Linked DNA regions of Drosophila melanogaster. The protein of the gene in region 3 interacts with the protein of the main gene of each other region in a pairwise test. Each region holds a gene or a part of one and is shown on either strand. Other genes may lie near its edges.

Region 1 (9,567 bases), on a different chromosome or scaffold from region 3:
GGAACTTACAGCTCGCCATGGAGGGTGGCAGTTTCATTTGTCCAACCAAGGGCCACCTTCCAGCCCTTGAGTTCGGTGTTGCCAACGTCAAATTCGGTGCCCACGCCGCCGAGGAACTCCTTGTGGCCCACAACCAGCGAACAGTTGAGTATCGGCTCCGAGTTCAGTCCAATGTCGGCCAGGAAGTTAAAGTTGTCCTGGGCATAGCCCATCTTGAACTTGCCATCCGCCTCACTGTTGACCCGAGATGTTTATATAATTAAAGGATGCTACCTAAACGATCCCCAAAGGAATACGCACTTTGATCCCGGCTGAAACTTGGCCTCGACGGCCAACATCAGGCCCTGTGCCAACTTATCCCGGTGCATAATCTCACCGAAGAGCCAGTTCTCCGTGTTCCATCGCTCGGTTAGGGTCAGGCCTTGGTCCTCGATCTTGTACTTGCTCTGAAGCGAGCCGGTCACCTTGCTGTTGTCCTGGCTGGCGAAGCCGGTGGTGAAGAACTCAATCCCCGAATTGGTCAGGGTCTTGCAGTCGATCTGCCAGATGCCCGGATGGTAGCCGCGCTTGAAGAGATCGCGGGCCAGCTTGCCCAGATCTGGGTATGTCGGTGTTTTGGCGGCCATTACGGGCTGTATGAATAGGTGGTATGGTATATATGGCCCGACTAATTTCGAAATTTTTTGTCTACTTTTCAACAGCCTCGATTAGCCGAAAATTTATGTCTAACGCTGCCTGATCAGTATCGAGTTTTATACACGCTGGAGACCTGTGAACTAAAACGCACGGAGTCCTGTGCCCAACCGAAAAAGTTAAGTTTTTCAAGCACAAAGAACTTGGGATCAGTATAAGGTACTTATCTTATTATACAGTTTTTTCTTTCAAGCTTAAATCCTTAAATTAAGCTAACCATTCCCAAGCCTTCCACCACCAACGCTGCAATCAAGATAATTTATTTCTTCTCGATTTATTTCTCAGGTAAATGCACAACGAAAAGGTAAAGATTGTTATTAAGGATGTGATTTTGGTGTTATGTGTGTCCTAGTTTCGCCGCAGGATTTTGCAGGCAATCCGTAAAGCCTTGAGAACTGAAAAAAATGCAATGCCTTTTGAGCCATAATATTCCGTCTTTTCCATTTTGTTTTTTTTTTTCGTTTAATAGGTAAATGTATTTTTACTGCACTTTTGTCAACAACAATTTCGCTAATATTCAATGCACTAATCAAAGCTACATCCAACGACGACGGACTGACCTGACCGACCCATCGATTGCACCACCCATCCATCCCCCTGCATCGTTTGTTTGGCAGTGTCTCTCCTGCAGATTCGCGTGGCTGGGGCAGGGAATGGGCGGATGTGGTGATGGCCGGCTGACAACTAATCCAATCCAATCGAATCGCTAAGATGTGCAGATTCTCTTTATATTTGACTGTGTGTTGTTTGTTTTTAAAGAATATCGTATCTTTTATTTTGTTTGATCTTGTTGTTGTTTCTGCACTTGTCTGGCTGCTGTTATTGTTGTTGTTGTTGTTGTTGGGCGTGTGGGGATGTTAGACAACGTTCAAGGATTTCACGACTAGCGGAAAACCACGGACTTAGGCCTCCAGCTCCAGACCCACACCGATCTTGTGGCCGCCGGCATTGAAGTTCTTGCCATCGACCAGCGTGGACAGGGTCAGGGTGACTCCGTCGCGCAACTTCTGCTGGTAGCCCAGACCCACCTGGCTGGCGTTGTTCACCTTAGCGCGCACGCTGGCATCATCATCCAGCTGATACTTGGCGCCGATGGCGAACTTGGTGTTGCTGGTGCCGCTGGCCCACGACAGCTGTACACCCACATCCAGCTTGTCCGAAGTGCGTTGGAAGATCGAGCCGCTGAACTCCTGGCCATCGTTGCTAAACACCGGACAAGGCAATCATTAGTTTGCATTGATTTCATTTGCCATGCGTGGCAATTGCAATACTTACACAGCTGTGTGCAGAACAAAGTCCTTGGTGGTGTAGCCAAGGGCAAAGTTGTTGGTGGTCAGCTTGGACTGTTGTGTGTCAAATGCGGTCTGGTAGCCGGCCAACCATCCCTGGTAGCCAAGCACGGCAGAGGCATTGATCAAGGGGCCCTTCAGATCAATGTTCACATCCGAATCGGCCTTGACGTTCTCATGGCCGTAGGCAACCTTGAACTTGCCGTTCTTGTTTCTGACGATTTTTAATTAAATATGCAATATTAATTATTCTGCAGTGAACATATATGTAATAACATGTGATCCTTACCCAGACTGAGGAGCAAAGTTGCCCTCCAGGGACAGCTTCAGACCCTCGAGGAGCTGATCCTGGACAGCAACCTCGGTGAACAGCGTGTTGTCTGTGTTCCACTTCTCGGTGAGGGTCAGGCCGTAGTCCTTGACCTTGTACTTGGTCTCCAGGGAGCCGAAGACCTTTCCAGACTCCTGGTTGGAGTGTCCGGCTGTGTTGAACTCAATGCCCGACGAGGTCTTAGTCTTCAGATCGAGCTTCCACAGGCCAAAGTTGTAGCCTTTGCTGAAGATGTCGCGAGCCTGTTTGCCCAAATCGCTGTATGATGGAGGAGCCATCTGGAATGGATTGAAATGGAATGCATTAAATCGCACCTTCAATTAGTTGGTGAATAATCGATAATCATGACGATGATACTTATTGCGAAATCATTTCACTCGCCAGGTCATTAATTGCGTTTAGCGAACGATAAGTTTAATCTTATCAGCAACATAATGATTATTACTTTTTGCTCGACTTGATTTCAAAATGTTCTATCGGCCGCAAATGAAAAGTGAAAACTAAAAGACGCCAAAAAACAGCATCAACATGTCCCAAGAATTTCGAGGGCTTTTTCCCCATTTTCACTTTGGCTAAATGTCAATTTTGTGCGGCGAAAATAAAGAAATCAATTTAGATTAGTGTTCAAGGCGGCCACATGCAAAGAATCACCAACTGAAGCAGCGAAAATTCTGAGTGACTGAGGAGGGGGTCAATGCACGTCTGGGCAAAATAAAGTGGCGCAAAAAATAGAAGCGAAGATAGAAAACAAATAGTGACTAAGTCTATTTTACTCCAAGAAATTAAGGGTTTTCTATACCAATGCAAAACCATTTAAATCAAAATTTATTTTTCAAATATTTTTATAGGTTTTTTAAACTAAAATTTTAATAAAAATACTGAGATTTTCCCTATTTATCTGGCCACAGGTTTGCCTCTCTCTATGTTTACGTTCCGTTCTTGCTGGCATTAATTGCTGGTCAGTTCAGTCCCGTTAGGCTAGCGATCATTGACTCAGAAGCTAACTGCACATTTGCAACGTCTGCTGTGGTCACTGCTTCGCTGTTTCTATTTGCGTGACGTCAGGAATGCGACTCACAGTCGCGGTAGGAATATTAGTCGCGGATAAATAAATTTCTATCCGATATTGAGCATAAAAAAAATCAAACAAAAATAACCCAAAACATCTAATTGAAATTATTATATAGATATAACAATATAAATATTTCATGTTGTGTTCGGGGGGATTGGTGGGGGGAAACTCAAGGCAATCAAGGCAGAAAATTATGAAAAGCAGCGGCCAGCAGACAAAAATCTTTATGGCCGGCAGCCAAACGTTAAATGGGATGGGCTCTTATTGTTCCGGAAGTCAGGTGATATAACCTGGTCACTAGATGCTGAAAATAATACTATCAGGTGGATGTCCCGGTGAAAATGAATCAGCATCTCGTTGACGATGACCTTGACAAGCAGATTATAAAGGGGGTGGTTGGGTGGATGTGCAGCTCATTTTTTCGACAGTTGCATAACAGCAGGGAAATCGATGAGGGAAAGTGGAAAGCTAAGTGAATAGCTGCCCGAAAAGGTGGTCTATTGATTTTCCAGGTGACGTCACTGCGAAAATACCACCCACAATCGCGAAGTGCACCCACCTCCTCACATGACCACAAACAAACAAAACGACGATAAAGAACGGTAAAGAGTGAAATCGAAAATGTTTATTGAGCGAGCTGCACGCTGGTGGATGGCAACATGACGATAACGAACGGAATTGATGCGACATGCGTTACGTAACGGAAATTCGCCAGGCACTTTTCCATCGATCTCTCTGCTTCTTTGCCCCCTTTTTTCGCCGGCAGCTGCTGCCAATGAACTGCGAAGGCATTGGTGTGCGTGGACTGTTCATGTGTGGATGTGTGTGTGACAGCTAACCGGCTTAATATCCCCTTTAAATTTCGGATTTATCAATTAATTATTGCGTGATTTGGTGATAAGAAGCTCGCCCATCGTCATCCAACAAAAAAGTGCTCAGCCCTTTTGCTTTTCGTTCATGCGCGTGTCTACTTGCAATTTTTTCATTTCGAGGTTATGAAATCACTGGCACCGAAAATCCTGATTTTCCTTCTACCCATAGGGGTATCCATCACATTTCACTGAATTTTGAGGGGGTTTACTCCTGAGCTACTTACTTTTGATGAGTTTTAGTTTGGTTAGAGTGTAATGCGAAACGCAGAGGAACAGAGACACCACGACAAACGTACACCAAAAAATTTTGTAATTCTGTGCCTTAGTGTTACCAACCCTAAAAATTCGTCCAATAATTATTCCCTAAAACAAGCCGCAGATATACTATCTGGTAACGCTGCGTCACTCTTAATGGCAATGGTCACACTTTTTGTAACGGAAATTTGAAAACTAACGGTTACTTAAAATAATTATTGAAATTAGAATTCAATCATTCTATTAAGAAATTCGTTATCTTAAGAACAATTAACTTACATCAAAGTGTTTTTTTTTTACATAAAAGGGTTTCCTGCAAACGAAAACTTTAAAGTTGTGGACAAGTAAATGGGCTTTAAAAAAGTTATAATCCAAAGCAATCAAAATGCAATAAATATATTACAACTTTATTGATTGACACCAATGAAGTGTGTGCGATGCTCTTTTTATTTTTAGACGAATCTGCGTGCAGGGCCGCCAATCGACCGCATAATCCCATTCGGATGGGCCAAAAGCGAGACCAGTGCATTTGCCGTGCGGCGACAGAATGTTGAAGGCCCGTCTGCAGGAGGACGCCGTGCTGGGACGCTGCTTGGCCACCTCTAGCTCCGTGGAGCGGGGCGAGCTGGTGCTGGAGGAGCTGCCCTTCGCACGCGGACCGAAGCGCGACAGCGGAATCGTGTGCCTGGGCTGCTACCAGTTCCTGCAGTTCGGAGAGGACGGCGATTCGCTGGACCGCTGCGAACTCTGCGATTGGCCGCTGTGCGGATCGTGCGCCGACGACGAAGACGTCACGGAGCACCGCGGAGAGTGCCAGGTCTTCTCCGCCGCACGTGTCACTTTCGCCGGGAATGTGAGCGATGATGGCGTCTGCCCGCAGTTGGATTGCATAACCATATTGAGGTTAGTTCGCGGGCGCTCCAGCGGGGCGGGGGTGATGGTGCTGGGTACATCCGTACAGCAGGGGCTACTGGGTGCTACTAGGGGAACCTGGGCGGTCTGTCCGAATATTAGTTTTGGCAGCAGCGGCCCATTTCTCGCAGTTCGCAGGCTAGCCGGCATATACAGATTCTCATGGCGACTCTACGTCAAAGAAGGCGGACGGATGGATTAACAAGTCTGTGAAAGGGACAGTGGAGCAAATCGCACAGAAAATAAAAAATAAATAGCTAAATTTAAAGTGCATGAAAGTAAGGAGAAAATTATGGCATGAAACAAGCCATATTTGTACATATTATTATGACAGAATAATTGGTATATGATAGTTGCGGCGCGTTATGATCAATGTACCATCATGTTTTTATATATTTCGTAGCAAAACTGAACTGTAAGCACTGTGAATTATTATTTAAATAATGTTAAGCACATGTTTAAATAGATCGGTGCTTAGTACTTAGAAATAGAACTAACAAAGCCAAGCAACTTAAAAGTTACAAGCAACTTAAAAGTTACAAGCAACTTAAAAGTTACAACCAGTAAATTATTTAATTTATGAAAATGTAAGGTATTTTAGTTATTATAGAAATTGAACAATGTTTTCTCAAGACAATTTGTTCAAAACTAAAATTTCTCACCTAGGACCTCGCATGCCCACTGTGCCCAGCAATTTTGATGCTTTATGTCGGAGCAGGCAGAAATGTAGTCATGTAGTGGGGAGGAGGCATCATCTGTGGGGTGTGCCCATGACATGAGATCTGAGATCTGAGTGCGGCCAGCCGGCATCAGTCAGCGAAATGACATCGCCGCCAACGCTGTCGGTGAATAGGACAGCGGTTCAGTGGAGTCCGGTCTGCGGACGCTATCTGGTGGCCAAGGGAGCGATCCGTGGCCACGGTCTGCTGATCGAGGAGCTGCCCTTTGCCGTCGGGCCCAAGTGCAATGGACCGGTGGTGTGCCTGGGTTGCTACGAACCCAACCCAGATCCGGAGGAGGAGCTGTGTAGCGAATGTGGCTGGCCGCTGTGCGTGGAGTGCGCCCAACAAGCGGATAACGCCCATTTCCGCCTGGAGTGCAGCCAGCTGAAGGATGCTCGGGCACGATTCTTCCGCCTGCCCAGCGGCAGCAGGCACTGTCCGCAATTGGACTGTATTATGCCGCTCAGGTGAAGCCCAGCGGGTGGAACAAAAATAGACCACCAGGCACCAGGCAAACTGATAGCGTCACTATTTTATCCGCTCAAGATGAAAGTTATATACAAAAGGATTCATTAACAATTAAAAAAGAGAAAGATTTTTAATTTAATGTAGCTAATTATAATCAATAGGTTACTTGTTGTGCTTCATATGATTGTCATTTGGAATACCCTTTTAAACTTTCTACTTTCAGAGTTCTGTTGGCCAAGGAGGCGAATCCGGAGCGATGGGACAACGAGGTGGCACCCATGGAGCACCACAAGGAGGAGCGCCAAAGGGACGCGGATGTCTGGCATGCGGATCGCGTTAATATCGCTCAGTATTTGCGCGGTCCCTGCCAACTGGCCAACCGATTCAGCGAGGAGCTGATCATGCAGGTGGTGGGTGTGCTGGAGGTGAACGCCTTCGAGGCGCGCAGCCCGAAGGGCTATCCACTGAGGTGCCTCTTTCCCTATACCGGCATTCTGGCCCACAACTGCGTGCCCAACACATCCAGGAGCATCTATCCCAGCGAGGGATACAAGTGAGTTGTAAATAGATTTGTAAATTCAGTTCTCTAGTTCAAGATGTCTAGAATTACATTTCCGCTGTTGCACATCTAAAATAAGTCCTCCTATATTTGTTTCTCTTCCAAAGAATCCGACTGCGCGCCATGGTGGACTTGGAGGAGGGTCAGCCCCTGCACCACAGCTACACCTACACATTGGATGGCACTGCCCAGAGACAGAAGCACCTGAAGCAGGGCAAGTTCTTCACCTGCCAATGCGAACGCTGTCTGGATCCCACCGAATTGGGAACGCACTTCTCCAGCCTGAAGTGTGGTCAGTGCGCCGAGGGATTCCAAGTGCCCAGGCAGCCAACAGGTGAGCGAAAAAGATCCTCTAGAAAGTGATAAGCTGACCTTATCCACTACGCAGAACCGGACACTAGTTGGAACTGCGCGAACTGTGGCTCCGACACCAGCAATGCGGATGCACTGGCGATGCTCCAATCCCTGCAATCCGAGGTGAATGCCGTGCAAGCGCTGCCCATGGCAGCCAAGCGGCTGGAGGAGATCGAACGACTGTTGCGCAAGTACAAATCACTGCTGCATCCGCTGCACTTTATAGCCACCGGGCTGAGGCAGTTGCTCATCGAGATGTACGGGCGAGTACAGGGCTACGAGATGGTGCAACTGCCGGACCACCAATTGGAGCGCAAGGCGGAGCTATGCCGCCAAGTGCTGAGAGTGCTGAACACCTTCGAACCGGGTCTGAGTCGAACACGCGCCATGAATCTTTACGAGCTGCACGTGCCACTGGTGCTGCTGGCCAAAAGTGGCTTCATAGCCGGCAAGCTGAAGGGCGGCGAGCTGCGTGCCCGCCTCGTCGACGCCATAGATCTGCTGAAGGAGTGTGTGGAGATCCTGGAGTTCGAGGACAAGAGCTCCCAGGAGGGAGTGCTGTGCGTTGTGGCCAAACAGGCGCTGAAACAGCTCACACTGAGCGTCGAGGGACTGGGAAGCGAACTCGATTGATTGACTTATGCATATCGGTTAGCTTTATTGGGAACAGTTCTGGGTTTCTAGGGACACAAACTGCTGATGTTGGTGTTACATTTAAAATCTTATTGGTGCGCTGGTCGATGGTCGTAAATGTCAAAAGAACAATAAACTACAAAACTAAACAGTGATTACAATTATTACAAACTAATGATGCACAGTATTTTCTATTTGAGTGTTTAATCTCCGTTTTATTTCCTTTTTGGTATATGCGTCATTCTTCGGGTATATCGTAAATGCTTTTGATAAGGACTTAGTTTCTAGCTCGGTACATATTGCTATGTAGTATTGTATACAGTTGAGATTTTTCTACGTCTCAAACTAGAAGGTGCTGCTTACTTGGATACTGGTAAAAAATACACCGGGTGGCCAAAGAATGCATCGGTGTACAAATAATCAACGCAACATTCGCTGGCATTCTAAAGCAAGCAGCTGCAAAAAGTTACTTACAAAATAGCCGTGTTCATTTTGAGTATGCTCCTGTTGGCCGCCACGCTGCTGCTTTCTATGTATTTATAATTTTAAAACATTATAAACTAAAGCATAAATTAAGTTGGAATCTGCATATAATACACAAAACGAAATACGATTCAATTTGACTGGCTGCGGGCAGGGGGATAGGTCGTTTAAAAATAATCACACACACATTGATTAAAAACTAAAAACACTCGGGGGCTCTTTTAGCCGCACAGCAAACGCAAGGACAAAATATAAAGAATATTTCCTGACCCTAGACCTCGTGGCTCAGTAGAGGCGTATCATGGTAGCGGGAGGCATGATTGAGACTGGTGCAGGGCAGCAGCCACAGCGCCGGATGTCCGCGTCCGAACACATCCGCCAGCAGCTGGTACTTGCGCCGATTTGGACGATAGGTGCCCTTCTGCTGTATCGCCTCCACGGCCGTCTCGTCGTACAGAATCGCATGCAGCTGGTCCACCATGATGGCCGTAACGAACAGGCCGAACAGCGCCGACACCAGCATAAGGATAACCGAGTGAATCCTGCAACGGAGGGATATAAGTTATATATGACTCATAATACACTTTAAAATTGCGTGGCCAAGTAACGCATTCATTGTTTAAGAACTAACAAAGCACTACTTTTCCATCTTGCATTGCATTCCGCTTAGCATTCGATTAAGGCAAACCCAAATAAGGCTCTAGCTTCTGCTATTGTTGCTGTGGCATACGAAACTTACATTCGCAACTGGGTTTCGATCACGTTCTGGCTGCACTCCTCGCAGGGCCACACCCAGGAACCGACGATAAGGGCAATGGAGTAGAGCGACAGCAGCGCCACGTAGATGAGGAACTGCAGGAAGTACTTCTGATTGCGCTCGCCCACACAGTTGTTGATCCAGGGGCAGTGGTGATCCATGCGCCG
Region 2 (7,533 bases), on a different chromosome or scaffold from region 3:
CCTCATTATTAACGGTCGATTGGTTTGCAAGACCATAGCTTTCCTAAACGGACTGTGCATTTACATTTCTATGGATCGAAGTGACTTAGTCACCTGGGTCCAAACCGATTTGCTCCCAATTACTAGTTATCACGGTTACTCATGTCCGAAAAAATGCGAATATAGATTGTAGTTGACCGAGAGTTTGGTGACTAACTAATGATGGGACTCCCTTCGGCACTAATTTGACTTTTTTCTGTGGATCCACCTGGGTATTGGCCAAAAATAGGAATACCAGGTAATGCTATTTCCATAGCGTTTCCCTTTTCCATTTCGTGGGTGAGTGTCAACAGCTGTTGTGGGCGTTCTAAAGACTATTTACCAAATAGGTGGCCATATATACTATACAAAAAAACTCACCTATTTGAACAGCTAAAAATGCGAATAGAAATCTGGCTATATCTGCCAGGCCGACAATTTATTGATGCCGCTCGAAATGGGATTAGGCGCGCGTGTAGGTGAACAAAATAGCCGCAAAAAAACTATATATCTATATTAAAAAAAATCGGTCTCGAAAAAAAGAGGGCGTTGCTACAAATTATAATGTATGTCAGGGTTTGCTCTTGGCACTTGTTTCGCCCGCCTCGAATGCGAAAGTTCAAAAGATTTTTGCGCACATGTCCAAGACGTTTGCTTGGGCTCTTTGTTTTAGGTTTTTGTTGGTTTTTTTTTGTGTATTATTTGCCCTGCTTGTTGTTTTGGCCAAAAATACTCAATTTTGCACGGCACCAGCGGAGGAGATGCTGTCATAGACGCGCCTTTTATGAGCATTTCGCGATGATGCCATGCGACTGTGGGTTATCTGGGGTTGTATGCTGGCCAAAAATCCATCTAAGCCTTATTAATTGCTGGCCACGGGTTGAGAACAAGGTGAAAACATTTTTAATTGCGGTTTCGGATAATCGCGGATTACACTTTTTGAACGTACTAACAATGGTAGCCATTATTTTGGGTATTTAATTGGAGGAGATAAAATGGGATAACATATTGTTGATACTTTTATACTTGACACACAAAACACAACAGAAGATGCAGATAAGAAAGTGATTCCTAGTTGTGATTGTTTCTATTTTCCTAACATCTTTAGTTGGGAAAAACAAAATTACTGCATAATTACAATATAGTTTGTAGTAATCAAATATTTGCTATTGGATAACTTGTCATTTCAGAAGAATTAGATAAGATAACAAAATACAAAACAATAATATTTGTACTTCAAATGGAAAACAATTTGGACTTTGTTAATTTGTGGATAAGGTTAAAGGAATGCAACAAGTGTAAATTATGTCCAATCCAATTGATATTTTAAATACATTGAAAGTAAGTATTGCGAATTTTATATATTTTTACTAAGTATTCAAAACATCCATATACTGTGAAATATTTTCGAAACGAATCATGTAGCTTAAATGGAAATAATTGACTTAAACAATGTGTTCGATTAGTCAGTCAATTGCTGTCCCACTTTTCAGACAGATTTTCCCATCCTCTAACCAAAGAAAATCTAGAACTCACCTCACCCACGAATTTTTGTTGTTTGATTGGCAACCGATTGTCGGTTGATTGACAAACTGTTTGAATGTGTGCGAGGAGGGGCAGTGACTTTACGATGACATGGCTAACGACTATTGTATACCCTTGAAACGTAACCTTCTTGCTTCTTAAGCTAATACTATTTAATAATAGCAATTGATTTAGAGAGCATTTTACCTTCGGCTTCAGTTTGAGGAAATTTTATTTATGTTTCTGCCAGCTGATAAGCGGCTGTCGATTGTTTTTTAGGCGCTAACATACGGACAACAATTCAATCAAGTATCCATCACAAACACACGCATTGACAGCCGTGCCCAGATAAGCAAATGGTTGGATAACAAAGGCCTACACAGATAATACCAATCGCAAACACAGGGAAGCATTCGGGTTTGTTTGTATGCGTGAATATTTGCTATAAAGTCGAAAGAAAAAAAGTTTATCGCACGCAAACAAAAACGACCTTCGGTAATGATGCCTTTGTATTTACCTAGCCATATTAATGTCGCGTCGGTTTCTTATTGCCAATTTGCCATTTTAAGGTACAAGTATATTTTCGAAAGCATACACGTTAAGATTCCGTTCTTCTCTTCCTGGGTTTTTATGTGCAACTGCTGCTGCATGATTGTAAATATTTTGGGATTTCATTTTATTTTTCCCTGGCACGCTTATTCATTTCCCGCCTGTTTACATTTTAATTGCTCGGTCAGCACTGGCGTTAAAATTTTTAAATCAAGAAGATCACAAAAGCGTTTTCCCTCGCATTCTCAACATTTGTATCTCTCTTTTTTTCGGTCAGCAAAGTACACCGCATATAGAGTGCCCTACAAAATCTGAGTACTAGTTAAATATTTATTCCAGTGAAATAGACTGATAAAAGGCCAAACAATTAATCTTAATACGCAGAAGTACCGTTCAAGATTGTGGAAAATTTCGAAAATTTTATACGGTGCTCTTAAAACATTCTGAAACAAACTGAAACAAGCGACCTAAAACTTATTTTTAAGTGTATTTATGTTTATAAGCCAAAATAAAATCCTACAAGTTTAAAACATTTTTATTGCTTAGATAATTTATTTACCAAAAAGTTATCACGAATGCAAATATACCTGTGCTGCAGTTACTGCTTCTCCGTAATTGCTTTCTGTTTTGTATAACAACAATAATATTTATTTCATAATATTTACTTTATTTTCCAAACAGTGCATTGTTATTTGGCCGGTAATGTTTACTAATTTGCGTGCTGTTGTCATTGCAAAAAATGTACCAACATGTTACATCTTTGTGCACTTTTGTTTCCGGCTTTGTGACAATTGAGTGCATAAACTTAATTACTGTCAAGATGTCACAACAGCAAGGCAATTGGATGATCGAGTGATATACTATTTGTTTTCAGAGATATAAGGAAACACTATGAAGACTCATTTCATGCTTTATGTGTTCGGGAAATAAAGTTCTTGAACATTTCATGTATACAACACTATTAATTATAGTATTCTCAATTATTCTCTTTTGATTTGTACGTTGTTTACTGCTGGCAGTTTTTTTTTTAAATTTCTTTAAAAATTACGTTTTTTTTTTACCATTCACAACTTTGGCCTCCAACTTAGTGTTTACTCCTTTTCTTGAAAAATGAGGCTAAGAAAGCCTGGGAAAATTACCTACACATCAACAAAGTGTAAACAATGATTTTTGTGAAAATAGACCAAGTTTTTTAACTCGCACACAAAAGCACGGAAATTGGCGAAAGAAACGAATTCAACTAACGGACGAAAAAGCTTAGGTCATTGACCAAAAAAAGAAATAACATTGCAAAGAGCGCTAGACTGCTCAGCTCTCTCTTACTATTTCTCTTTATAGTTCGAACACGTTTTCCAAGTAAAAATCCAACGACGCCACTTTTACCTGCGTTTGTGTGTGTGTGTGCATAGGTGAGTGAGCTCCCCACTCACCTATGCACACACACACGCGAGCGGTACAAAACCATTCTGTTATTTTCCTTGTTTACAAAAGCAACAAAACCAAATTGTTGTTATTGCTTTTGTATTGCTACCAAAGAGGCGCGCTTACGTCATTCATAATATTAAAGCGCAAAGAGAGAGTCTAGAACTACAACAACAGCAATAAGAGCACGAAAGCAATCTGGCACATGCTGTTTTTGTTGGGACTGAAATTACCTGAGGAATAATTTAACCATTTTGTGCATTTTGCGCTCTCTTCTCGACTATTTTGTTTAATCAATTCTTTACGGCAGCTCCATTGTTTTCAGACCGCACTCTCATTTGCGTGGAGCCGATTCACTTGGCACGTTTTAGAAAAAAACAAAACATCCTTTGGTTTATTACTCAGCAAGCATTTGGTTCACTGTTGTCACATTTTAAACAATTAGTTTATTGTATTTGCATTAGGAAACTGTTGGGTTCTCTTTAGATTTCTAAATTCGTCTCTGGTGTGACCAGCTGGTGGAACGGCGAAAATACTATCGAGTATTTGGTAACACTAATGCTTGTACAGAATGTTAACATTTGTGAGTGAATTTTGTAAGTTGGTTAACACCACGTAAAAACTGTGAAACTTATTTAATTAATATATATTATATATTAAAGCATGCTGTCTTTGCAGCAGTGCTGATATCTTTTATAAAAAAACAACTTAAGATGAAAAAGAGGTAAAATATATTGTAAGAGTTCACATTTTCGGTACCTGATTGTTTCCATATACACTTGGGTAAATAAGTACAAAATTCATTTGTCGAGAAAAAGTTACATTGGCACCATTGTATAACAGTTCAAAGTTAATGATGTTTGATGCTGCCAATGTAAATTCTTCAGATAACGAGCCTTGCCATCTTAATAGATTAGGAATACAAGCGTTGCCACCAAAATTTTAACGAACGTATACTCAGTTGTATTCGATGGTTGTTGTCTTGGGTGCATGTAAAAATTAGCAGAAGAGCACTTTTTTGTGTTAAAATTAACATTTCAATAACATTGTAAAATTCTGTTAGGTAACAGTATCACAAATTTAAATCTATGTTATATTTGCTCTGATCTAACTTTTGCAAATTATTCAAGATTATTTTAAAATCCTGACATCGTGGGTATATCTGCATTATTATTAATGAAATGTTGTATTAACAAAATACGGAATGTGGAAATTAGAAAATTTTTTCTTTAAGATAATAGAAAAATTAGTAAAATCTTAATGTTCCCTTTTTAAATGAAAAATGTCTTTTCGAATAGTTCTTATTTACTAAATGTATATAATTTTGATTTGGAAGTGCCACTTCCAAGTGATATCAAGAATTAAGTGCTTGTGGCTAGTCATATCTGAGAAAGTGCATGAAGACTTGTAATACTTTGCCGCCTCTGCTGATTTAAGTATATTTTTAAAAGACAATTAAATGATTTGCCTGCAAGTGTTGCAGTAATGAATGGACCCAGAAGTGTTTGCTTCTTAATTGGCAATTTCCTAATGGCGAAATGCGTTTTGCACCTACTTTAAATGCCACCTTGGCGTATTGTTTTGGCTTAATTTAAATTACCTGTTTGAGTAATGAACAGTCTCAGCCACGGGCTGCAACAATAATAACGCGACTCTCAACTCATTATGCATTGTTTATTGCCACTCAAAGTAGCATTTTCACCCTCTTTCCAGCATTTTCCGAGCACTGCAGCATTACTCTTAATGCATGTGCAACAATAGGAAACTCCACTTCCACTTTTCTTCGCCCACCAACTCTTCTTGTGCACTGATATTTGGCTTTTCGCAGAAACAGTCGGAAAAACAGCAGCCTTTTCCTTAACATTTTCTTGTAAATAAATATCTATTAATAAGAAACTTACATAAATCATTTAAAAGGTGTGTATATATAAAACTATAAATTAAGAATTCGCTATTTATAAATAATTATGAATTGAATAAGTAAATCCCTTAAAATCATTTTGCTAGCAAAAATAGCAATTCAGTTATTGAATGGCCCCATTTTCATCTAAACTGGGATTTTCCCGATAGCTTTTCCTCGCAGCAGTAGGATCAGTGCAGTCACCGGATTTATATTGGCACATCCAGGTGTTCCTGGATGGCAAGTCAAGTCTGGCACTTCATTATGCACATTAAGATACAAGTTCTTTTCGCACTGACGAGGTGGTATCTTAACTTAATTTAACCAACTAGGGGCCAGCGGGCGGTCCTCTGAGGGGGCGGGTTTTCCGTGTGTGCCGCTAATGGGCTTAATAAAAAATGCAACATTTTGATTTAATTTAATTGAAATTCACGCCACTCGAGCAACTCCATTAGGCAGAAACGTGTCCGACGTCAAGGATGCAGATGATGGCAGCGTCGAGGAAATCAAATTACCCAGCGGCAGTGGTTCTAGTGTGCGAAGAGGGAGGCGGGGGTGGTATGCCGCAGGGGGCGGGACTGTGGGCGTGGCCGTTGCCGTGGCTTGTAGCAACTCAAATAAATATTGTCAAAACACTTGTCAAATGGCTAAACAATGGAGCTGGGACGTGGTCAGAGCACGGTGCACTCTTCTTTTCCAAAAAAGGGCGATATCAATTGATACTACACTTCAAAAAATTATGTTTTAAAAAGTATTTTTATCAGAATATATTGTGCCTGTCAATATCCAAGATTAATACCACATATTACTAGGAAAAACTCGAAATCTTAAATAGAAAACTTTACAAATTGATACGAAAAATAATATTTTATTACAATATCTACAATACATTATTTAACATTGTTGCTTATATAAAAAAAATATATACATATATATTTTTTAAATAATTTTTTTTTCACCTGCTCTTTGATTCTAAGTTAAAGACTTCTTCGAGTGTAAGGCGGTCGTGGGTAAAAAAGTGAAACTGGAACTGTGCGCAAATCAATTTGATTCGATTTAAATTTAAAAGCATCTGCACACAGGCATTCATCACCTCCATCACTTGGACAATACCACCCAGAACTCAGTGCCCAGTTCCTTCGTCACCATCAGCCCTATCCATTTGCCATCCTCAGCGATCTTGAGAGTGATTTTCATGTCGGGGTCACGTGCCGCAGACGCGTGCCACTGACATAAGTTTTCAGTTCTAGATTCACAGCTCTTCGCCGAGTTCGAGGAAAACAGGGGACTTGGAATTAAGTCGCGCCACAACCACAAGGCAGCGGGAAAAAAAAGGGTCGACACTTTTCAGTGGGTGTTTTTGGTCGAGCGACTTGTTTGATTTAGTTAAGTTATCAGTTTAATTGTATTAGCCAAAAAGATTTCGTTTTTTTTTCTTAATTCTGCACGCGTGTGTGTGCTGATTAAATAGTATTTATGTTGTGTAGCTACAAGCAGTTGGAAACGCCTTAATCTGCAAAGTGTGGCGGTGACATGGTTGAATAATCAATATAATTACTAGATTTCGCATGCAATGAGATTGTATCTTTTAAAATTATTGTATTAACTTGCTTAATTGCATAAACGGAGTTTTATTGAGTAGCCAATGTTAATATCTTTCCATTTCTTTCTTACCAATTGTGACTCCTTTCCACTTGGCCACTTGAAACGCAGCATTTCCCACGGCTAACTTAACCGATTTGTCCAATCGAAGGCGACAGCCACACAGTGGCCAAGTACATCCTGTTCACCTGTTCACCTGGAGCCCCGTCGCTTTGGAAGTTCTCCAAACTTTGGATCAAATCAGCCGTGGAGGTGTCAGTGTACAAAGGACGCGCCCTGACACGCGTCTGACGTTTATTGGTGCCCTCCAGCTGCAGCGAAAAGTTTTCCCGAGCGAAAAGCCTTTCAAGGAAAAGCCACATGTGGAAATTGTAGACGACAAGCAGACACAACACAAGACACAAAAATATATAAGAATGGTGGCCCAACTGGGTCGCACCGAAGATGGAAACACTTCTTAATAAAATAAAATACTTTCTCTTTGAAATATTGAAACTTCCTGAAAAATGACAATATAT
Region 3 (7,814 bases):
TTGTTGAGACTGCAGGTTGGGATCGTAAAAGTTGAGCTTAGCCTGGGGAGGAAATATTTTTGCATAAGATAACCAAGTAACGTTGTGTTTACGAGCCTACCTGTTCCACTAGGCAAAGATTACGCTGCAGTGTACGGCTATGGCGAATATAACTTAAATATGCCAGTAGATATTGTACGCCGGATACGGTCTGACCGGTGGTTAACGAACGCAGCTTGGGATCCTGTTTGATTTCGTCGCGAACGGCCTGGATGGCATCCTTGCAGTCCATCAAAATACGCTCAATCAATTCTATCTTGGCATCCTGCTTGGTGGTCTTGGCCAGCGACTTGTCCAACTCCTGAGCACTGAGCAGGAACAAACGCACCTTCTCCGGACGCACGGTGACCTTGCGACCGCGCCAGTCGATCGTCTGCAGGCCCTCGCTGCTCTCCGTCTTTGTCTGACTGACCAGTACGTCAAGATTCTCAAGCACTCCCTGAGCGCGCAGCTCCAGGATCTCGTCGATCTTGCCGCCACTGGCGCCACCGCTGATGTTGTAGGCGCAGTAGCGCAGATTGGGCGTAAATTCATTAACCTTAGCGCGGTAAAGCTCTTGTTCATCTTCGGGCAGAGCCTTGCCCAGGTTTTCGTACACCACTTGGGCGCGCTTTAGGTGCTCGCCAGCGGTTTTCCATAGCTGCAGCTCAAAGTGCAGGGTTCCGTGCATCCAGGCAACATAGGCTTCGCACTCTAGCTTAGTGCGCGCATCGAAAGCCTCCGTCTACAAGAAAATTATAAATGAAGCTCAATAAACATTAATCATAACAGTGAGTTACAGCTTACATTACACAACTCCTGGAGCTGGAGGGCATAGAAACAGGCCCTGCGCAGCTTGTTGACCAGATGGAAACGCTTTCGCGGCTCCGTATTGGACTCCTGCTTGAGCTGCATGGCATACGCCCAGGCCCGCTCGGCGCAGATCAATGGGATGTGGATGAAACGCTCGTCCGCCTTCTTGCCTGTCAATTGGCCAATGGTCACGTCGCGTCTTTTGAAGTGCCGCTTGTCGCCCTGGGGGTACTTCAGGGCCTTCCTCAATCGACGGATGCGGCGGCTGCAGTATCCGCGGTACCTCTGGAAGTCGCCGTGGCGCAGGCCGTGTTGTTGCTGGGCATCCTTAATCATGTGCAGAACTGCAGCAGGAGTGAAAGTTCAGGGCATTAGCATTAAATTTTAGGTTAAATGGTTGGGCGTCTGGGCCACCTGGCAGTTGGCTGTAGGCGATTGGGGCACTTACTCTCCACCGTGAAGATCTTGGAGGGCTCTGCCACCGGAGCAGTCTCCGTCTTTTCCTGAACGTCCCCAGTATTTGGATTATCTTCTTGCACGACCATTTTCTTAGCAGTCGACACAAATCAACGACGTGTAAAAATTAGTGATTGCAATTCCAATGGGATTGTCAAAAACACTAAATAATCGATATTATTAAGAGCGGCTCTTGTGCGATATATATTTATATTTATTTATAGGATATATTATCAGTTCGGAAATTACATGTTCCTATATTGAGAGATAGAAGTTATAAATTTTATTTGATTGTCACTAAGCTTACTTTAAATAAAATCCCTGAAACATTATAAAACTTATGTTATGTAAAAATAACTGCACAAAACAATAAATAATTATAAACATGCTATACGAAATTCAAGCCCACTTATTGATATCGATAGTTTCAACGGCGCATCCCTATTCGTAGTAGTGTTGAGAAACTCATCAAAGCTCCCCCCTTTTGAAACTTGTTGGCTGACACGCAAGAGCGTGCGTTCTGTCTGTTTTACAACAATTTCGGCCAAGTTCGCAGGTAAATTTCAAATATTTCAGCACTCTGTCAACGTGAAATTTAAGAACAATGCCTGACGCATGAGAGACAATAGAAATTTATGGTGGAAACCCATTGTTTTGGCCACGCTTTGAGGTTATACTTTCACTCACTGACAAACGCTGGCACCTCACCCCCGCTCTTGTGTCCATGAATCGGTGCACCAGTTTTGTTTTGACGGTCGGGGATGGTGATTTGCAACGTTGACAATGGACTGATTATCATATAGGCGGCTGATTAGTGGATCGAAGCCAATTCTGTTTAATTTGCTCATTTGAAAACTATCAACAGCATGTCGCGCAGAAAGGAGAACGAGGAGGTGGACAAGCAGACGCGTATTGCCATCGTCAGCGATGACAAGTGCAAGCCCAAACGGTGTCGGCAGGAGTGCAAGAAGACCTGCCCAGTGGTGCGCATGGGCAAGCTCTGCATCGAGGTGACGCCCACGTCCAAGATAGCCTCGTTGTCCGAGGAGCTGTGCATCGGTTGCGGTATTTGCGTCAAGGTGGGTCAGCTTACCTACAACTGCTGTAGTTCCCGGAATAACCCGTGCTTTCAATTCCCCAGAAATGCCCCTTCGAGGCCATCACAATCATCAACTTGCCCAGCAATCTGGAGAAGCACACAACGCATCGATACAGCAAGAACTCCTTCAAGCTGCATCGTCTGCCCATTCCGCGTCCCGGTGAAGTGCTCGGTCTTGTGGGACAGAACGGTATTGGCAAGTCGACCGCTTTGAAGATCCTCGCGGGGAAACAAAAGCCGAACCTGGGGAAGTACGCCAATCCGCCCGACTGGACGGAGATCCTTAGCTACTTCCGCGGCTCCGAGCTGCAGAACTACTTCACCAAGATCTTGGAGGACAATCTGAAGGCGCTGGTCAAGCCGCAGTATGTGGATCAGATCCCCAAGGCGGTGCGTGGCGCTGTGGGCGATCTTCTGGATAAGAAGGACGAGAGGGAGCTGCAGACTAAGATTTGTGAAATGCTGGATCTATCGCACATCCGTGATCGTGAGATCGCTCAGCTTTCTGGCGGAGAACTGCAACGCTTTGCCATCGCCATGGTATGCATACAGAATGCAGACATCTTCATGTTCGACGAGCCGTCCTCGTATTTGGATGTTAAGCAGCGTCTGAACGCTGCCTTGACCATTCGATCACTCCTGCATCCCACCAAGTAAGTTGATGAATAATGTGCCATTGTTTAAAATTATGACGTGGTTCTGTAATATGCAGGTTTATTATTGTGGTGGAGCACGATTTGTCTGTGCTGGATTACTTGTCTGACTTTATATGCTGCCTTTACGGAGTTCCCGGCTGCTACGGTGTGGTTACTATGCCTTTCTCTGTGCGCGAAGGCATCAACATTTTCCTCGATGGCTTTGTGCCCACCGAAAACATGCGATTCCGCACTGAGTCACTTACTTTCAAAGTATCTGAGTCCGCTACGGAGGAGGAGATCAAGCGCATGAACCACTACGTATATCCCGCCATGGTCAAGACCCTGGGCAAGTTCGAGTTGACGGTGGAAAAGGGTCACTTCAGCGACTCCGAGATCCTGGTGCTCCTGGGCGAGAACGGTACAGGAAAGACGACGTTCATTCGCATGCTGGCCGGTAACCTCCAACCCGATGGCGAGGTGGAACTGCCTATGCTGAATATTTCCTACAAGCCCCAGAAGATTTCCCCGAAATTCCAAAATCATGTTCGCCATTTATTGCACGATAAGATTCGTGACGCCTACGTGCATCCTCAGTTTATTGCCGATGTTATGAAACCCATGAAAATTGAGGAAATCATGGACCAGGAGGTGCAGAACCTTTCCGGTGGTGAGTTGCAGCGAGTCGCCTTGGTCCTGTGTCTTGGCAAGCCAGCGGATGTCTACCTCATCGACGAACCCTCTGCCTACTTGGATTCAGAGCAGCGTCTGGTGGCCGCCAAGGTTATCAAACGGTATGTTTTACATAGACTTTAAATCTGCACACAAATATTGATGGTATCTCGTTTTAGTTACATTCTGCACGCCAAGAAAACTGGATTTGTGGTGGAGCACGATTTCATCATGGCCACCTACCTCGCCGACCGTGTCATCGTGATCGAGGGTCAGCCTTCAGTGAAGACGACAGCCTTTTCGCCGCAGTCGCTGCTAAATGGCATGAACCGCTTCCTCGAACTGCTTGGTATTACGTTCCGTCGCGATCCCAACAACTTCAGACCCCGCATTAACAAAAACAATTCGGTCAAGGACACAGAACAGAAACGCTCCGGCCAGTTCTTCTTCTTGGAGGACGAAGCCTGCAACTAAGACAGGATCACGGGCAACTTCGATGGGACAGCTCGTTTCTCTATGTTCTCCTCAGCTTTCCTTCGTTCATTTTGCATTCTTTCGTTGAAGAACACATTTGCTTTCAAATTAATTTGTTATTGTTGTCGAGGATTGCGTACAATCGAAAATTGGGGATTAATTGTACTTGATTAAAGTGAGTTTTATATACGTTTTTACAGCGAAATAAATAGTGAACCGAAACAACAGAATGTTGTTTTAAATGAGTCTAGCAAAAATAAACCAATTTTCTTTATACAAAACTGCATTTGAAAGTTCTTTTTTCTAAAGTGGTGCTCATAGAATCCTGCGAGTTTAAAAGAGCTAACGTTTGCAAATTAACACGTATTTATTGCACTTAAGCGATAATTACTCAAAATACGCACAATACAAATGTAAATTACATACAAATTTCTGTCATTTCAAATTTGATCACAATACGAAATCGACGCACAATGAATAACAGCTACAAACATTTATAAGTATATAATTTACAATATTTGTTTTTAGATATACCAACGCATGCACAGCATATTTTTAATGTAAACGCTTTTGAAGCTTTAAATTTATGCGATTTAATCAAATTTACATACAATTTTTCGAAAAAGGCAAATCTTTTGAGTTTATAATACTTAATTTGATCTGTGGCTTGTTGACCACTAAATAACTGACACAAGTAAGTACTATAAATAGGTAATTTTGGAGACTTATACGCTAAAAATTCCATAAAAGTAAATGCGTCAAAAATTGACCCAAATATTTGATAGTTGCATTGTGCTGTTTCGAATCCCAATCTGAGTCTGAGAGTAGAGAGCGTTTTACAAGGAGAGTTTTCTTACTGTTTTGCCGAACTTATGCAATAGAAGTATAGTTAGTAAAAATGGACACATGTATGTCTAAAATTGAGTGTTTCAGTTGATCCAAAAGCAGATCCTATGGTTTATCCAATAATTTAATTACCTTGTTTATTTTCTTTTTCCTTCAGCATAATTTCTTGTAAATGGAACTTTTAGTGACTTAACATTAGTTTTGCTATGTGCTTAAATAATTGTCGAAATCTTGCAACAGAACGTATCAAAAATAAGTGTATATCATGCAGGAGATTAAAAGATAGAGAACATTTGAGGTAGCCGACTATGTATCGTTTCCACTTTTCATGAGGTTGGACACTTCCTGGCCGAGCTCCATGGCTTGTTTGCGCAACTTGAGGGCCTGAAAGATACATGTCATCAGTAAGCATTTCGCTATCAATACTCAAGTGGACTTACCTGAGTCCTGAGTTCCTTCTCGCGGGTGACAAGTTCCTGAATTTGCGACATGACTGTGACTGAGCTGCGTTGATCTATCACCCACCGCAAATAGAGATCTAAAATGCATGTTTGATGAGTAATGTTTCATATATTAAGTTCTTAAACATACCACTCCACAGCTCTAAGCTTATGGGCGCCACCGATGGCCATATCACATTGGCATTAGGCTCGTACAGCGGATTCAAGAATGTCTGAAGGACATCAGGCCGGTTCAAATAAGACCACAGGCTCGTCGTCCTGGTGTGCACATTCAGTTCGTTTCTCTCCCGCTCTGAATCGCACAGGAAAGTTCCATACTGCGAAAAGTGACTGTGCTCAAATAGAAGGATCAGCAGTTGAGTGCTGAATTCAAAGCTGCAGGGGAACTGCGTGTAAAGCTGATAAATGCAATCCAGAAATAGGACGAAGGTGGCACCAGAGGTCTTATTGCGTGTCTGATTTGGTGTATAGCATGAGTAGCGATGACGCGAGGCGAACGGATGTCCCGCCTGGATCCACTCGCGCTCTATCAAAGCCTGCAGGCTGCAAAGGGAACACGGCATAAATATCTTTTTCAAGGTAAGGAGAATATGATTACTTACCCCCTTACAGTCCGGCAGTCCGGATTGAGAATGATCTGCACCAGTGAGGTGACTATAAGCGTGGAGTCCAACCCCTTAGCACCGTGCACTAACACTGGACTTCCCTCTTGGTCCAGGCATTGGGCCACCACACAGGAGGCGTTCAGTGAGTTCAGCACAAGACTAAGCCAGCCGCTGTTCTCCAGTCGCGATAGCCATTTATCAGTACTGCATCCCAAATCGTTGCAAGCTTCGATAAGCCGAGCAAAGCTGTCCAAAATAGAGGCGGGCGAACTGACGTTTCCAATTGAACGATTTACCTTCTTCCACTGCGAGTAGTGCAGGTCAGTTTCCGTATTCGATTTGCCCTTACCCCAAGTGTCCACGATGAACCCCTTCCGACTGCGACCCAGCACCAGATTAAGGATAGCCTCGTCAGCTCTACAGCGCTTGATGCCCTGAATGGACAGCGGCTGGGAGCTGCGCATTAGTGTGGCCTGCAAATATGAATCATTGAATTAATTTAATAAAATTTGATGATGTAGATGCAATGACTTACGCCATTTTCATGCCTGTAGCTGAGCACGGGGAAGCGGCCGCCATCGCGGAACGCAGCGGAGAGCACTATCTGCTCGTCCGTAATTGCTTTAGGTACAATTAGCGTGGCGCCATATGTGGCACAGACGCTGAAGTCTCTGTTGACGTTGGTGATGCGCCACTCGCAGGAGGCCTGGGGACTTTGAAGCGCACCACCTCCCACACCACCAACACCACACGCAAGGGCTTCTATCGCATAGCCATTTTGCAGAGGATGGGGAATGCCGGCGCCCACAGTCAACGTCGATGTCGAAGTTGATGGCATGCAAATTGTTATGTTGGCCACATTCGGCGAGGACGCACCGCCCATGCCAACCCCGCTTATGAGTTTGGCGAACTCCAGCTCGGGCCTGTCGTTTGGATGGGGAGGTTAATTGAATTGTAGCCAATTTGTTAGTTATGGAGAAGCCGTGTACCCACCTAAACATCGTGTAGCCGTCCTCTAGGATCGAGTACATGGGCCGGTAGAAGAATGGATAGAGCAGTTCGGTGTTCTGGATGGCACTGAGTGCCTCCAGCGATGCGGCCACGTTGAAGAACTCCTTGCCGCACTTTATCTCCAACGAAATGATGCGCAGGTCCTTGCACTTCAGGGTGATAATCCCACCGACCACGATATTCTGCGACAAACTAGGCTTCTTCTCCACACAGTCGATGTTCTTGTGGAGCAACTGAAAAGAGGGGGATGAGCATGATGAATTTCTAATTCAATTATGAGCGCTCCACTGATGCCGAAGCACATCGGATTAGGTGGGCAGGCCTCAACCCACTTACCCATAGCTCCTGGCTGGTTTCCTGGCGGGCGCTGAGCAGCAAATGGTGCCCTGTGATGCACAGTGTGCCAACTGTTGCACCCGACGCCCCCGCATTCGATGGGTCGTGCAGCAGGACACCGTCCAGCTTGGGGGTCTTTATAAGGTCGGCGAATTCCATGGTGTCGCCCTCGGCGGGGTGTCCGATTTGATTTGGCCCCCACTAATTAACTTTTTGCATTTTGCCCCGGCTATCTCCTGTTGCCACTTGATTGCTTCTGTCGACGCCGCCTTCCACCTCCGCCCTTCTTCGCCACGGTTATCCCGCCTTTCGAGTCCCCTTTTTTGAACCCACAGCAGTGCGTACGTCACCGGTTCTGGCGGGGATTTGGCGGACTTACGGCACTGCT

What was found.
Region 1: the proteins of pix (region 3) and SmydA-3 interact in a two-hybrid assay, tested with the Drosophila melanogaster proteins (one large-scale study listed by BioGRID).
Region 2: the proteins of pix (region 3) and raw interact in a two-hybrid assay, tested with the Drosophila melanogaster proteins (one large-scale study listed by BioGRID).

The regions. Positions count from the first base shown.
Region 1 is NT_033779.5:10,846,273-10,855,839, forward strand, and holds SmydA-3 (SET and MYND domain containing, arthropod-specific, member 3), read left to right. Parts: upstream 1-3,868; 5' UTR 3,869-3,987; exon of another isoform or gene 3,988-4,576; intron 4,577-4,968; 5' UTR 4,969-5,059; coding exon of another isoform or gene 5,060-5,415; intron 5,416-6,090; 5' UTR 6,091-6,245; coding exon 6,246-6,613; intron 6,614-6,837; coding exon 6,838-7,167; intron 7,168-7,280; coding exon 7,281-7,507; intron 7,508-7,561; coding exon 7,562-8,160; 3' UTR 8,161-8,332; downstream 8,333-9,567. Other genes in the region: Porin2, read right to left, coding at 10-234, 301-626; porin, read right to left, coding at 1,596-1,896, 1,969-2,196, 2,272-2,591; Dnz1 (DNZDHHC/NEW1 zinc finger protein 11), read right to left, coding at 8,915-9,185, 9,383-9,567.
Region 2 is NT_033779.5:8,736,639-8,744,171, forward strand, and holds the start of raw (raw), read right to left. Parts: upstream 4,023-7,533; 5' UTR 3,776-4,022; coding exon of another isoform or gene 3,747-3,775; intron 1-3,746.
Region 3 is NT_037436.4:8,968,686-8,976,499, reverse strand, and holds pix (pixie), read left to right. Parts: upstream 1-1,734; 5' UTR 1,735-1,843; intron 1,844-2,082; exon of another isoform or gene 2,083-2,152; 5' UTR 2,153-2,153; coding exon 2,154-2,366; intron 2,367-2,428; coding exon 2,429-3,039; intron 3,040-3,098; coding exon 3,099-3,815; intron 3,816-3,872; coding exon 3,873-4,167; 3' UTR 4,168-4,444; downstream 4,445-7,814. Other genes in the region: Srp68 (signal recognition particle 68), read right to left, coding at 1-42, 101-763, 826-1,175, 1,280-1,376; CG5026 (uncharacterized protein), read right to left, coding at 5,320-5,397, 5,454-5,551, 5,605-6,017, 6,077-6,552, 6,615-7,002, 7,073-7,323, 7,427-7,585. UniProt on the Drosophila melanogaster protein: Plays a role in translation initiation and quality control of translation. Together with pelo and HBS1, is required for 48S complex formation from 80S ribosomes and dissociation of vacant 80S ribosomes.